Linked DNA regions of Macaca fascicularis. Each later gene encodes a partner of the first gene's protein in a complex. Links are inferred from orthologs where the notes say so. Each region holds a gene or a part of one and is shown on either strand. Other genes may lie near its edges.

The links. Proteins that work in one complex are often made in the same cells at the same time.
Region 2: MED8 (region 1) and MED7 share a complex: the UniProt entries of both Homo sapiens proteins name them as parts of the mediator complex. The link is inferred for Macaca fascicularis from reciprocal best matches to the Homo sapiens genes MED8 and MED7.
Region 3: MED8 (region 1) and MED12 share a complex: the UniProt entries of both Homo sapiens proteins name them as parts of the mediator complex. The link is inferred for Macaca fascicularis from reciprocal best matches to the Homo sapiens genes MED8 and MED12.

Annotation. Positions count from the first base shown.
Region 1 is NC_088375.1:191,388,106-191,392,357, reverse strand, and holds the start of MED8 (mediator of RNA polymerase II transcription subunit 8), read right to left. Parts: upstream 2,922-4,252; 5' UTR 2,738-2,921; coding exon 2,382-2,737; intron 1,727-2,381; coding exon 1,582-1,726; intron 1,078-1,581; coding exon 937-1,077; intron 750-936; coding exon 668-749; intron 306-667; coding exon 57-305; intron 1-56. Other genes in the region: KICSTOR complex protein SZT2, read left to right, coding at 4,040-4,066. UniProt on the Homo sapiens protein: Component of the Mediator complex, a coactivator involved in the regulated transcription of nearly all RNA polymerase II-dependent genes.
Region 2 is NC_088380.1:163,927,926-163,931,748, forward strand, and holds the end of MED7 (mediator of RNA polymerase II transcription subunit 7), read right to left. Parts: intron 3,363-3,823; 5' UTR 3,346-3,362; coding exon 2,647-3,345; 3' UTR 581-2,646; downstream 1-580. UniProt on the Homo sapiens protein: Component of the Mediator complex, a coactivator involved in the regulated transcription of nearly all RNA polymerase II-dependent genes.
Region 3 is NC_088395.1:77,823,096-77,826,716, reverse strand, and holds part of MED12 (mediator of RNA polymerase II transcription subunit 12), read right to left. Parts: intron 3,602-3,621; coding exon 3,347-3,601; intron 2,966-3,346; coding exon 2,819-2,965; intron 2,660-2,818; coding exon 2,560-2,659; intron 2,430-2,559; coding exon 2,293-2,429; intron 2,074-2,292; coding exon 1,942-2,073; intron 1,575-1,941; coding exon 1,448-1,574; intron 1,035-1,447; coding exon 805-1,034; intron 433-804; coding exon 352-432; intron 221-351; coding exon 50-220; intron 1-49. UniProt on the Homo sapiens protein: Component of the Mediator complex, a coactivator involved in the regulated transcription of nearly all RNA polymerase II-dependent genes.

The DNA.
Region 1 (4,252 bases):
ATTCCCTCCAGCTCCCCTGCTCAAAGTCAGCTTCCTTTCAACCCCTGCCACCTTACCTGGTTGACCTGCTTGAGCCATTTGTACCCCACTGAGCATTGGCTGCTGCTGGCTTGGAGCTCCTGCCATCTGCACCTGCTGTAATCCTGAGGTTCCTGCAAGGATCGTCCCAGCTCCTGGCTGGCCTGGCTGGCCAGGACCACTGCTGCCTGAAGGTCTCCAGTTAGACAGTCCTTTCCCAAAGGCAACAGCTGCCACCAAGGCATTAGTGTCTGTAGGGTTAAAGGTCTGCTTGTTTGGCCGGAGACCTGAAGAAAAAGTAAGTGGGGATCCTGAAGTATGTTTCTGATGCAGGACTGAACGTGGCAGCTGGAAGACCAGTATGAGTGCCAGGGTTTAGAGTTCTGAATTCAGCAGCATCTAGACTCCCTCACAGCCCATAAAAAGAGCCAGAGGACCCCCAAGCCTATCTCAGAATTCTCTCTTCTTACTTTGCCCATTTCCTCCACTGCTTCAGGGTTGGCCTTAAATACAAAAGGCTAACAGAATGGATGCAAACCCTAAAGCAGTTCACTCTTGTGTCCTAACTTCACTACTCTCGAAACAACCATTCCCATTCCAGTGATCTTATATACCTCTCCTTCTCTGTTTTGCCACCAGTCCACCATACCTCCACTCTCTGATTCTCGCTCCTCTTTGCTGATTTTCTCCAGAAGGTTTGAACACATTTTATTCAAGCTCTGGATCTGCTTCTGTAACACACAAATTTGTGCAGAGATTAGGGTAACTAGGAAACGATATGGACAAATTTATTCCTTGGGTTCTGCCAGAAGCAGCTTAGGTGCAACCAACTATGCATCCCTACTAGACAGGAATGGTAATGCCTAGCTTCTCATGATGGGATGGGGATGGGGCAGCAAGGCAGTGACTCAGTCCAACCTGGGCTGCATCTGCACCAATGCGGGCAGCATCTGTCGTCAGTTGCTTCTCCTGTTCTTCCACCTCAGGGTCAGGCTTGGTTCTCAGATGGTCAGGGACTACCTCATGGCTGAAAACGGGCACCCGTCCTTCAGTCTGCCGCTGCAACACACAGATTTTATTGATCCTACTATGCACTCCAAGAAGATTCTATCTGGCCTGATATACAGTCCCATCCACAGGCAAACAGTGCATTTTCAAGGAAAATACAACCTAAGACATAATATCTAGTTTCCTAGGACACAATCTCCTTTACTCCAGCCTTCATTTTTTGTGTCTTCTCACATCCCTATCTCTACCAGACCTAGAGGCAAATTAAACTATCACTGTCTGCCACGTTTCAAAGACTGAAACAGACAAAGTCACCAAAGGGCAGACTTTGTGGCTTGAGACAGATGTTGGAGAAGGAAGGTACCAGCCTTGGTGACATACCCCTCAGGTTATTACAACACTATTTGGGAGTGGCTCTCCCACCTTCAGAAGAACAAAAAGCAAGGCCTCCAAAATTATTTCTAAGTTCTCAGCTAAGAACTTAATTTCCCTAAATAGTAAAGAAGCCTAAAAAACTCCTTAATTTCCCAAGTTGTATTCTTTTTCTGCTCTTACCATGAGATCTTCATCTCGGTCTGGAGACAACACCAGAGGGATGATGACCTGGTTACGGAACAGCGGTGTTTTTTCATGCTTCAAGACCTTGTTCAGAGTGTTCAACTGTCCAGAAAGCAAGGCAAAGCTGTCCAGGACAGATGGCCTGTTGGCAGTAAGCAGGTGTCAGAATGTTCCACCCCTTCCTTGGGTGGTTCTTAGTAAAATAGTCCTAGTTCCTTCAGGCTAGGAACACTCGGATTTATCCCCAAAAGTCTCATAGCCCTATGACTAGCCTAAGTGGGAAGAAACTAACAAGGATGACAGGGTTATGAAAGAGGGACATAGTTTCAGTTTATGAAACAGATGTAGAAAAAATCCAGTTCATTGTTTGAATGAGGTGAGGAACAGTGGCAAAATAGGACTATACTGTTATAACTAAAACTTCAGAAACCCGGTAAAATCCTTCTTTCCAGCCTGGAAATAGGATCCACACTTCAGAGTAGGTTGGATCTAAAGGACTCAGCCATATTTGTGGCAAGAGATCCAGCACAAATAGAGCTGTAATAGGAGGACCTCCTCACCAGAGAAGTCAAAGGGTAAGAATTGAAAGCTATAATGAACTTGGGTTAGGAAACCGAGCATTTCTCTACTTCCTTGCCATGGAAGCCACTTGCTAAATGTTACGAAACCCAGCTCTTTCCAAATCAAAAGATGTTTGTAAACTGATAAATGGTTACATCATTAGAAGTGTCCTATTCATCAGAAGGCTAGGCCCCCCCACCCATAAGCCCTCCCTAGCTTGCCCTGGCAACCCTTACCAGGTCAGCCGGCCATACTCGTTCTCCAACTTGCAAATGAAACTTCCCAGTGAGTTCTTCAGATCAGCCACTTGACTCAGCAGTGCATCTAATGATGCCTCAAGCTGCTTCTCCTCTCTCTGCACCAATAGGAACAGGTTGGTTACCCAGATAAACGAGTATGACACATAGAAAGGAGGGCTGAAAAGCCAAGGAGATGGTGTGCAAACACCAGTCAGGTAACAGGATCTCATTGGCATAGGATAACCAGGTTGTTTCCTATCTGTGGTATTTGGGTTATAGACAGCATCAACCCTGAGACCTTTCAACCGTTTGCCTGACCCAAGTACTTCCACCAACTGATTCCTTTTTCCCATCCGCTCCTAATCTATGCCTGGTTTTTCTCTGTATTAGGTACACCCTACACTCCCTCATTGAGACATTTTCGACAAACCTAATGCCAGATCATTATCTCATGTGCACCTCTGTAGCACATGCACTCCAGCTTCCTCCATCCTAGCATTTGTGAGCCTGGCTCTCTTGTCAGTCTCTGGGAAATCTGCCTACTCATGAAGACTTCTCTGAATACCAGCCCTGCTCTCCTCTTTCCCTCCCCCCACCAACCACTCCAGCTTTCCATCTGCTCTCATCATTTCATGTTTCAACCTTCTCCTCGCTGAATTAATATGCACCCATCTATCTCTGTGTCAATATTCCCGTGCCTCTTTCACAAGCTCGGTCAACCCAATAACATTTCTTGAGACTACCAGCTGCAGGAAACTAAGTGACAAATGAAAACCAAAACCGCACATGCTTCTAAGCACTGAACAAACAAATTAAAATGCCGGGGGTCTGCAAAGCATTTCCTTCCCATCGGTGGTATCCTGTTTTATTCCATTTCTTCACCCTTAACAACTATAGGGCACAGGCTGGGAAGAGTGATGCAAAACTGTCTTGCAAACCTGCTAAGGTGCCTGACAGGAACTTGATCCTGGGTTCCACCATGGCCTCACATTACAAGCTGCTTAGCTTTCGGACACCGCGGCCCACAATTCCCTCACTGCTTGGGCTTCTTTCCAATTAGATCCCCTGCTATATCGGCATCCAACAGCCTCCATCCAGCAGCTTAGGACAGGGCCTGAGCCAACCCACCACCTCCTGAGCCGTCTTCCTTGGACTGCATCTCGGCCTCCCCGTATTACAACCTAATCCTTTCCCACGCCAAGCAAGTCAGTGCTGCCTCCTCCCTCCGGATTTAGCCCGACCGCCTTCTGTCAGGCGAGCTCCACCCCCACCTCTCATCTGCGCCGCTCCCTCTCCAATTAACCTCGCCCCCCAACCCACGTTCCCTTATCAGCCGTGGGTTCTGCCCTCTTTTCTCAGTCCCAACTCTTCATTCTCCTTAGCCAGCCCACTCTGGCTCCCTGTAGCCGAAGCTGGCCAGCCGCTAGCACTCCCAACGCGGCTCTCACCTGCATTGCGGCGGCCGAGGCGACTGCAACGATTTCCACTTCCGGTTTCCTGTCAGCAAACGCCTCTGAGAAGGCTTCGTCCACCAATCAGAAAACTGGAACTCGGCCCTCCCACCCACTTCCTGTTCCTTCCGGGTGCCGAGGTAGCCAGGTCAGGGGTCAAGAGTGGAACACACGGGCCCGGGCCGGCGCGGGAGGGCTTGTGTGATGGCCTCGGAGCGCCCCGAGCCGGAGGTGAGGGGCGGGCGGACGCAGCACTGGGCCCTGAGATCCGAGGGGGAGGGTCCGGCGGGCAGGCGTGGCGTTGGCCTCCTCTGGGTCTGGGGGTGGCCGGGCTGCGTAGCCTCGGCAGGGACCAGCCCAGCCCGGAAGGCCCGACTATGGTACCCCTGCGGACTATGGGACGCGGTCTGCAGTTTC
Region 2 (3,823 bases), on another chromosome or scaffold:
GGCATGGTGGTTCACTCCTGTAATCCCAGCACTTTGGGAGGCTGGAGGATTACTTGAGCTCAGGAGTTTGAAACCAACCTGGGTAACATAGTGAGACCTCATCTCTACTCAAAGAGAAAAAAAAAATTTTAGGCCAAGAATGGTGGCTCACTCCTGTAATCCCAGCACTTTGAGAGGCCCAGGCGGGCAGATCACGAGGTCAGGAGATCCAGGCCATCCTGGTCAACATGGTGAAACTCCTTCTCTACTAAAAATACAAAATTTAGTGGGCATGGTGGCACGTGCCTGTAGTCCCAGCTACTCGGGAGGCTGAGGCAGGAGCATCGCTTGAACCTGGGAGTTGGAGGTTGCAGTGGCCCCAGATTGCGCCACTGCACTCCAGCCTGGCGAAAGAATGAGACTTCATCTCAAAAAATAAAAAAAAAAAGTTTTAAGAGATAAAAAAGAAGTGAACATGTACACATGCCTTGAAAAGAGAAGATAATGTGGACAAGGTGATTTGAACAGACAATAGAAACATAACTGGAAGCAAGATTCTTCTGAAGGTGCTGTAATGGCTGAATAGTTAAGACACAAACTATCACCTTCAAAAATCAATTCGTTTTATTATCTTAGTTACATTTTCCTTCGCCCTTCCGACACATCCAACACTTAAACTAGCATCAGGCATAGAGGTGACCACAGTAAGTATTCATCAAATGAATACCATGAATAAATGAATAGCTGGGGAAAAACTACTCTCATAAAGAGAACACAGATTTGTACAGTCAGTTTATTTTTGCTATTTATATTAAGTTTACACGTGCCTGATCTGTAGTGGATATCTCGTTGTTAGTTCAGCACCACTTCCTTCCTCTGAGACAGACTGACTCTTCCATACATAGACATAGTGGGGACTGTCAAATTATTATGGGAGCCAAGTCCCAGTTGATTTGCCCAGTTGGAATCAAGTATGCAACCCCTAATTCCTCATGTCTAGGTCGTTAATTAACCTCATTTTTTTTCGTATTTGAGAGAGAACTCCCAGACAGTGGTAAACATAGAAATGCTTAACACATGGGAACTGTTAGTTGCCATGTTCTCCACCTACATCATTAAAGAAGTTCATCAGTAAAGAGAATGAAGCTAACAGGAAGGATGGTCTCCAGGGCTACTAACTCAAAACTTCAGACACTTTCTGTCCTCCTCATGGTTTATATGTTCAACTTATCCTTCAATCAACATACCCTATATCCTTTCCTTTTAAAATTAAATAGCAATGGAGAGAAGTTCTCACTATGTTGCCCCCGCTGGTCTTTTCAACTTTCTGGTTGAAAAGGTCTGGGATGGAGCTAGAGAAACTTCATTTATTTTTTATTTTTCTGAACCTATGGATTATACTAAAACTTTTATTTCTAGTGAGTCCCCAAATGGTACCAATGCTGCTGGTCCAGGACCACACACTTTAAGAACTACTGGCCTACATTAAGAAAATGGCAGGCAAAGATCCTCAGAAACAAAGTCAACTCTCTACTAACACCTTGGTGGAAGAGGTGATGGACAGTGGGGAGAAGAAAGTGCTCACATAAAGTCCAATTAGTGAGGGGCAGAGTGGAGTTAATGAAAAGAAGACTTAGTCCTCACAGTCATTCAAAGACCCAGACTGACAATCTTTGCCATCTTCGGTGGCTTCCAAACTTATCCTGGATATGACCATGCAACCAGCAGTTGGGAGAAAAGAATGGAGGATCATGCAAGAAATGTTTATGGGGCAAGCCTGGATTCCTATGCCCACATTTCACTGCCTAGAACTTAATCATATGTTCTCACAGAGATGCTGGCAGTACGGAAATGTCCCTGGTTGGGTTGCCACATCTTGGCAACGTATCTTCAAAGAACAAGACTCTCTGGTAGACACCTAGCAGTCTCTGCCGTCAAACCCCTTTCCCAATGTGGACTTAAGCAAGTCTGGGCTTAGCTTTAAAGAAAATGTGTAGCTAATGACATAGACATCTTAATTACTAAAATTAATGTCTGTAACTTAAAATGGCCAAAGGACTTATTACCTGAGTGACTGGAGAAAAAAACAATTCATGGGACTTGCCTGCAAGAGTCTATTCAGGATAGGGAGAAAAGACTGAGATAGTGGGTTTACAGGAGCAGTCATGAGGAAAAAATAAAGTTTCTGTTTTATAATTCTTCTGGGCTCCTCTCTATTAACATGTTATACTACCTTTTGCAGCTTAAGCAAAATTTTTAATGGAATAAGTTTAAAGATATCATAGTTTTACATTTATAGATTGATATCCATTATTCCTCTATCATTCTTAAAGCAAATGATAAATCCCCTTTTCAAAGACGAAAACTTTTGCTATTACTGAGGTTATCATCAAAGTTTTACCGCAACTCCAAAACATAGGAATGTCCCATACAACAGCGGTGAACACTTTGCTTTTTAAAGTGATTATTCTTAGTGCAGGGGTACTCATTTGTCTATGCTTGTTATACAGTGAAATTACTGCCTATGACATCTCATAATTGAAAAAGTTGGAGTCAAGATTAAAGCTGTTTACATTTTTAGTGAAACCTCTCTTAAGACTGTCCAAAAGAAAATAAACTAATATATGAGGCTATTTATCAAAAGGAAAAAAGAAACATAAACATCTTTCATGGTCTTTCATTCATTTCATCAATTAGGACACACAAGGCAGCATCTTTCTCTATAATCTGATCTCTCCTATGACCTGAATTTTCTCTTTGTTCATTCTGTCCAGTACAATTGTTGCTATCATCAGCATCCATTGGTTCAGTTTTTACTCTCATTCCTGCTTCTGAATGAGGCAAATCATCAGGCAAAGAAGCCAAGCAATTCTGAATCATTTCAATTACTCGTTCTAGGTGCTTTTGAAACCTCTCAGCTGTTTCAAGCCGTTGACGTTTCTGGACCTCCATCATGACTCTCAAGGTCTCTCTTGCTTGGTGGGGTCGGTATTCATTTATAAGATGATGCACGTGTACAAAAAGCAGCTTAAGATCTTCTAGTTTCTCTTCTCGTTTTATACTCCCAGGGCTCCTTATTAAAATATCTAAAAGGTCCAAGAAATTAATAAGGATAGACATATTAAGTTTTCTCAGTTCTTTTTTGTGATCAAACTGCATAGGATGAAGCCGTTCGATGCCCTGACTTTCCAAAGGGCGGATGATAAGATCATCGCATTGGAACTGATTGCCAAACATCATGTAACTATCTTTTATTGGAGGGGGAGGCTTGGGAGCTAAGCCTTCTTGAATATTTTCATCTGTATATTCCTTGATATATTGCATTGGAGGTGGTGGAAGTGCACTTACTTGCTGTGGTTCACCCATTGTGGACTATCAAGAACCTATGGACACAGACCAAAGATTTATTAGAGCCACAAAACAAACCTGTTACATTTCATAACTACAGACAGAATATTTTCTTCCTTTTCTTCCAGTAGTTTGGGGTCCAAGACAAGATGATCTCCTTGGTTTCTAAAACTAACATTTATGATAGGTAAAGTTTGCCATATTTTCTAAGTAGGCATTATATTCTCAACCATTCACATATTTTCCATTCTCTCCCTAATAATTTCATCAGCATGAAAAAATCTGTAGCATCTTCTGATCTCTAAAGAAAATCTTCCACCGGGTGCGATGGCTCACACCTGTAATCCCAGCACTTTGGGAAGCCGAGGCAGGTGGATCACAAGGTCAGGAGATCGAGACCATCCTAGCTAACAGGGTGAAACTCCGTCTCTACTAAAAGACAAAAAAAATTAGCCGGGCATGGTGGCGGGTGCCTGTAGTCCCAGTTACTCAGGAG
Region 3 (3,621 bases), on another chromosome or scaffold:
AGCAATCTAGGTTCAAAACAGATCATCACAAGGTGCTGGGGAACAGTACCTGGGGGATGGGAAAGTGGGTGGCATACTGCACGTGTCGTGGCTGGTCGTAAAGAACCCCAAGGGTCCCTTCGATCTTCTCCTTGGGTGGGGGCTTCACCTCCTTCTCGACATCTGGCTTCTCCGGGGATGGACTGCCCTTCCCCTCACAGGGCATAGTAGGGGAGAACAACTGAGAGAAAGGTGAGAAGGCAGAACATGAGAAGAAGGAAAGGGGATGAGCGGGGGTAAAGAAATGCCAAACGCAGGCATAATGGGAAGATCAAAGGAGCCAGATTCTGCCACGCTCAGGATTGAACTTACTGAGAAATCAGGCTTCTCCATGTCCTCAAAGAGCACACTGGAACTAGGGTCAATGTCCATAGATTCTGAAAGCCCTGGATCCTGAGGGCATAGAACATAAGCAAAGTTGCTTTAGCCCTAGGGAGCGGCTCCCACCATCTAGAAAACTTCACGGGGGAATTGGAGAGAGAAGACCAGATTGTGGAAAGCACAGGATCTGGAGTCAAGTCATCCAATCACTTAACCAGTATAGGCCTCTGCTTCCTTCAGCTTGAAAATGGGGACAAGAGTACCTCACAAGGCTGATGGGAGGAACCAATGAAACAATTGATGTGATAGTGCTTGGTCAATCACCAAGTGCTAAGAAAATACTACCCCCCTGCCCCACGCAAAAGACGCTCTTAGAGGCCTCTGGGAGCCATGAAGATAGAAATGTCAGAAGAAACGATCTAGGGCAAGGAAAAGCCCACTCACCTCCAGCTTGCTGCTGCTGCTGCCTTCAGCCTCCTTGTGCTCTGGGTCATCGGCAGGATCATCAAAGGGAGAGGGAGGCCGGGGACCAGGGGCTCCAAAGGCAAGGTCCCCTCGGGAGATGAGAGTGCAAGTATACATGTTGTGGGAGAAAACATCATGTCGAATCAGTTCACAGAACAGCAGTACTAAGTTAAAGAATTCCACCCGCTCACTCTCACTTCGGGGGTCCGCTGGAGGAAGGGAATGAGGAAACATGAGTTAGGAGAACACAAAAAGGTGGGCCAAAAGAGAGAGGGACACACCTAAGGCAATTAATAGGAGTGATAAAATAAAAATCCCAGAAACTGTCGAGGGACAAAGCGTGGTTGGTTACCTCACATGCTGCCCCACACACCATCTCAGAAAGGAATGTAATGTCTTTGTTGCGATTTACGCAGTGAAAATGCTTCAATCACAAGCTCTTGTTTTAATCCTTCTCTGTATTTCTCTACTTTAACTGTAAGATGATCAGTTAAAGAGGATCACTAGAACTACATCTAAAAGTCATTCTGCATAGAGCCCAAGAGAGAAATATACTTTTTGATGACAGTGGCGGGTAACTGAGTCTAGGCAGACGCAACTAGAGAGTGGTAGGGGTCCGTACTCAGCATGGGAGCCTGTGTATCCAGAAACTGCAGGAGGACATCCTGGAAAATGGGAGCACTAGGAGCAGAAAGGGAGCCAGAGGCGATGGAACCCTTCTCATCTGCGGCTTCTGATTCTCCACAACGCTGCAAGATGACAGAACAAATTGTAGAACTGACTTTTACCTGCTTCTTCACTCCTCAATGTGTAGGCCTTAAACTACTACCTGCTTGACCTCTACCCCATGCTTTTCATTTTCATTCCCCTGCTGACCTCCATCTTCTTTACCACCTCCCAACTGAAGCCTTGATGTTATCTCTAATTCTGATAACAATCCACTCTTCTCTACTTTCACCTCATGTCCGTAACTTTGCCTTTAGGTTCTCTTCCACTTCTTTCCTCTGTTCTCACACCTTCAACTCTGGTCCCTCCACCACCTCCATCTCTTGGTCTCCAACCCCAGTAAATTCCTTCCCATTGGCCAATCTCATTCTCTTATCTCTGCCCTCTAACCTCAGCCTCAATCTCCGCCTGTCTCTTCTCCAGGAGCTTGGCTACCACCATAGCACGATGCCGACCAGAACGCTTGCAGCTGACAGCCCATTCACATAGCAATGACACCACAGCATCATCATCTGAGGAGATCTGGAGACCAAAGGAAGAGAGGGAGGAGTAAGGTAGGGGTGGGGACAAAGAAATGAGTTCCAATTTCCTGAAGACTGCACTCCATCATAAAACATTCTGGGCCCAGTAAGATCATTTCTGCAGATATGCTCTGCTTTCAATGCCTCACCATGACTTCCCCTCAGATATATTATTGCTCTTGCAATGTTTTTTGCTCCTTCTATTCCCCTTTTCGCTTACCTCATGCCCATCCTTGCTAGGCCCCAATCCAAAGATTCGGTTACAAAGTGAGTCAAGAGAGTTGCTGAAGTCAGAGCGCTCAAAACTATGGCTATCCAGCACTTCCAAAGTATGAAGCACCCGTCCAATGGTGAAGCCTAAGGAGGAAAAGTGGTAAAGGGGACTGAACTAGAGGCCCAGTGCATTCTGGCTCTCAGATCTACATGTCCTTACTATCTCCATCCTTTCCTCAAACATACTTCCTATTATCTGTTCTCCGACACATACCTGCAGTAGCTTCCTGGCATTTATCGAAAGACCAGCGAACTTCAACTGCCTGTCCCCGCTCCTTGATCTGCTGCTCGATCTCCCGCAACTTTGCACGGACCTGCAATGTTAAAAAGGAAGGCTATAAGGATGTACCAAGGCATACAAAAGGCCAGAGCCCCAGGCTAGAAGAATAGTACCAGACTCCAAATCACTATTTCTGAGAGAGCACTTTAGCCTCATAGCCCAATCAGAGTACCAGGCGAGTGGTCAGACATACCTGCTGAGTGAAGGCACTGTTACCCTCTGGCATGGGCAGGTTGGAGGGGGCAATAGGCAAGTGGTCAAGTGGTGAGCCGGTCTTAATTCTGCTATCAGTCAGTGAGTAGTGCCAAACCAAGGCACTAGGACAACACAGGAGGATGGTCTGCCAGATAGAAACAGCTAAGTCCAACTCGTTCACATGGCTACCCCTCTGGAATCCCATTCTAAGACCAAACCCGTAGATTCCAGATCCAAAGTTATTCTGACTGGGCCCCCAAGACAGGCATCACTCCACCCGATCCCCTCCCTTCACTCACTTTCCTAAAAGGCTCTGGGCCTACTATTTAGCCCTGGAAGGGAGAGAGAGGCTGGTCAAAACCCCCAAAGGGGACTAACACCCCATTACCAAGAAACAACCACCTCCAAGCAAGTACTCAGCACCTACTCCCACATCCAATTTGGAATTACCCCTATACTCTGGGATGGGCACCCAATTCTTCTCAGGTTATCTCTCAATGCTTCCTTGGGCCCGCCTAGTACCTACCTGTAGGATACAGCTGAGGCCAAAAACCAGGGGCCGGTGCTGAGGGCACATAAGCAGGTCACTAAAGGGAGTCGAGGGGGTGCTGCTAGTTGGGGGCTGAGGAGCAGGGGTGGTGGGTAGCGAGCTTGTTGACTGAGCAGATATAACATGAGATGAGTGACTGCTCACACCATCTAGCTGCAGGGCCAGTCTCCGTGTACAAAAGTAGGCAAGGCGGCGGGACAGGTACGCAGACTGAACAAATTCCCCAGAGTACTGTGAAGACATGACCATCA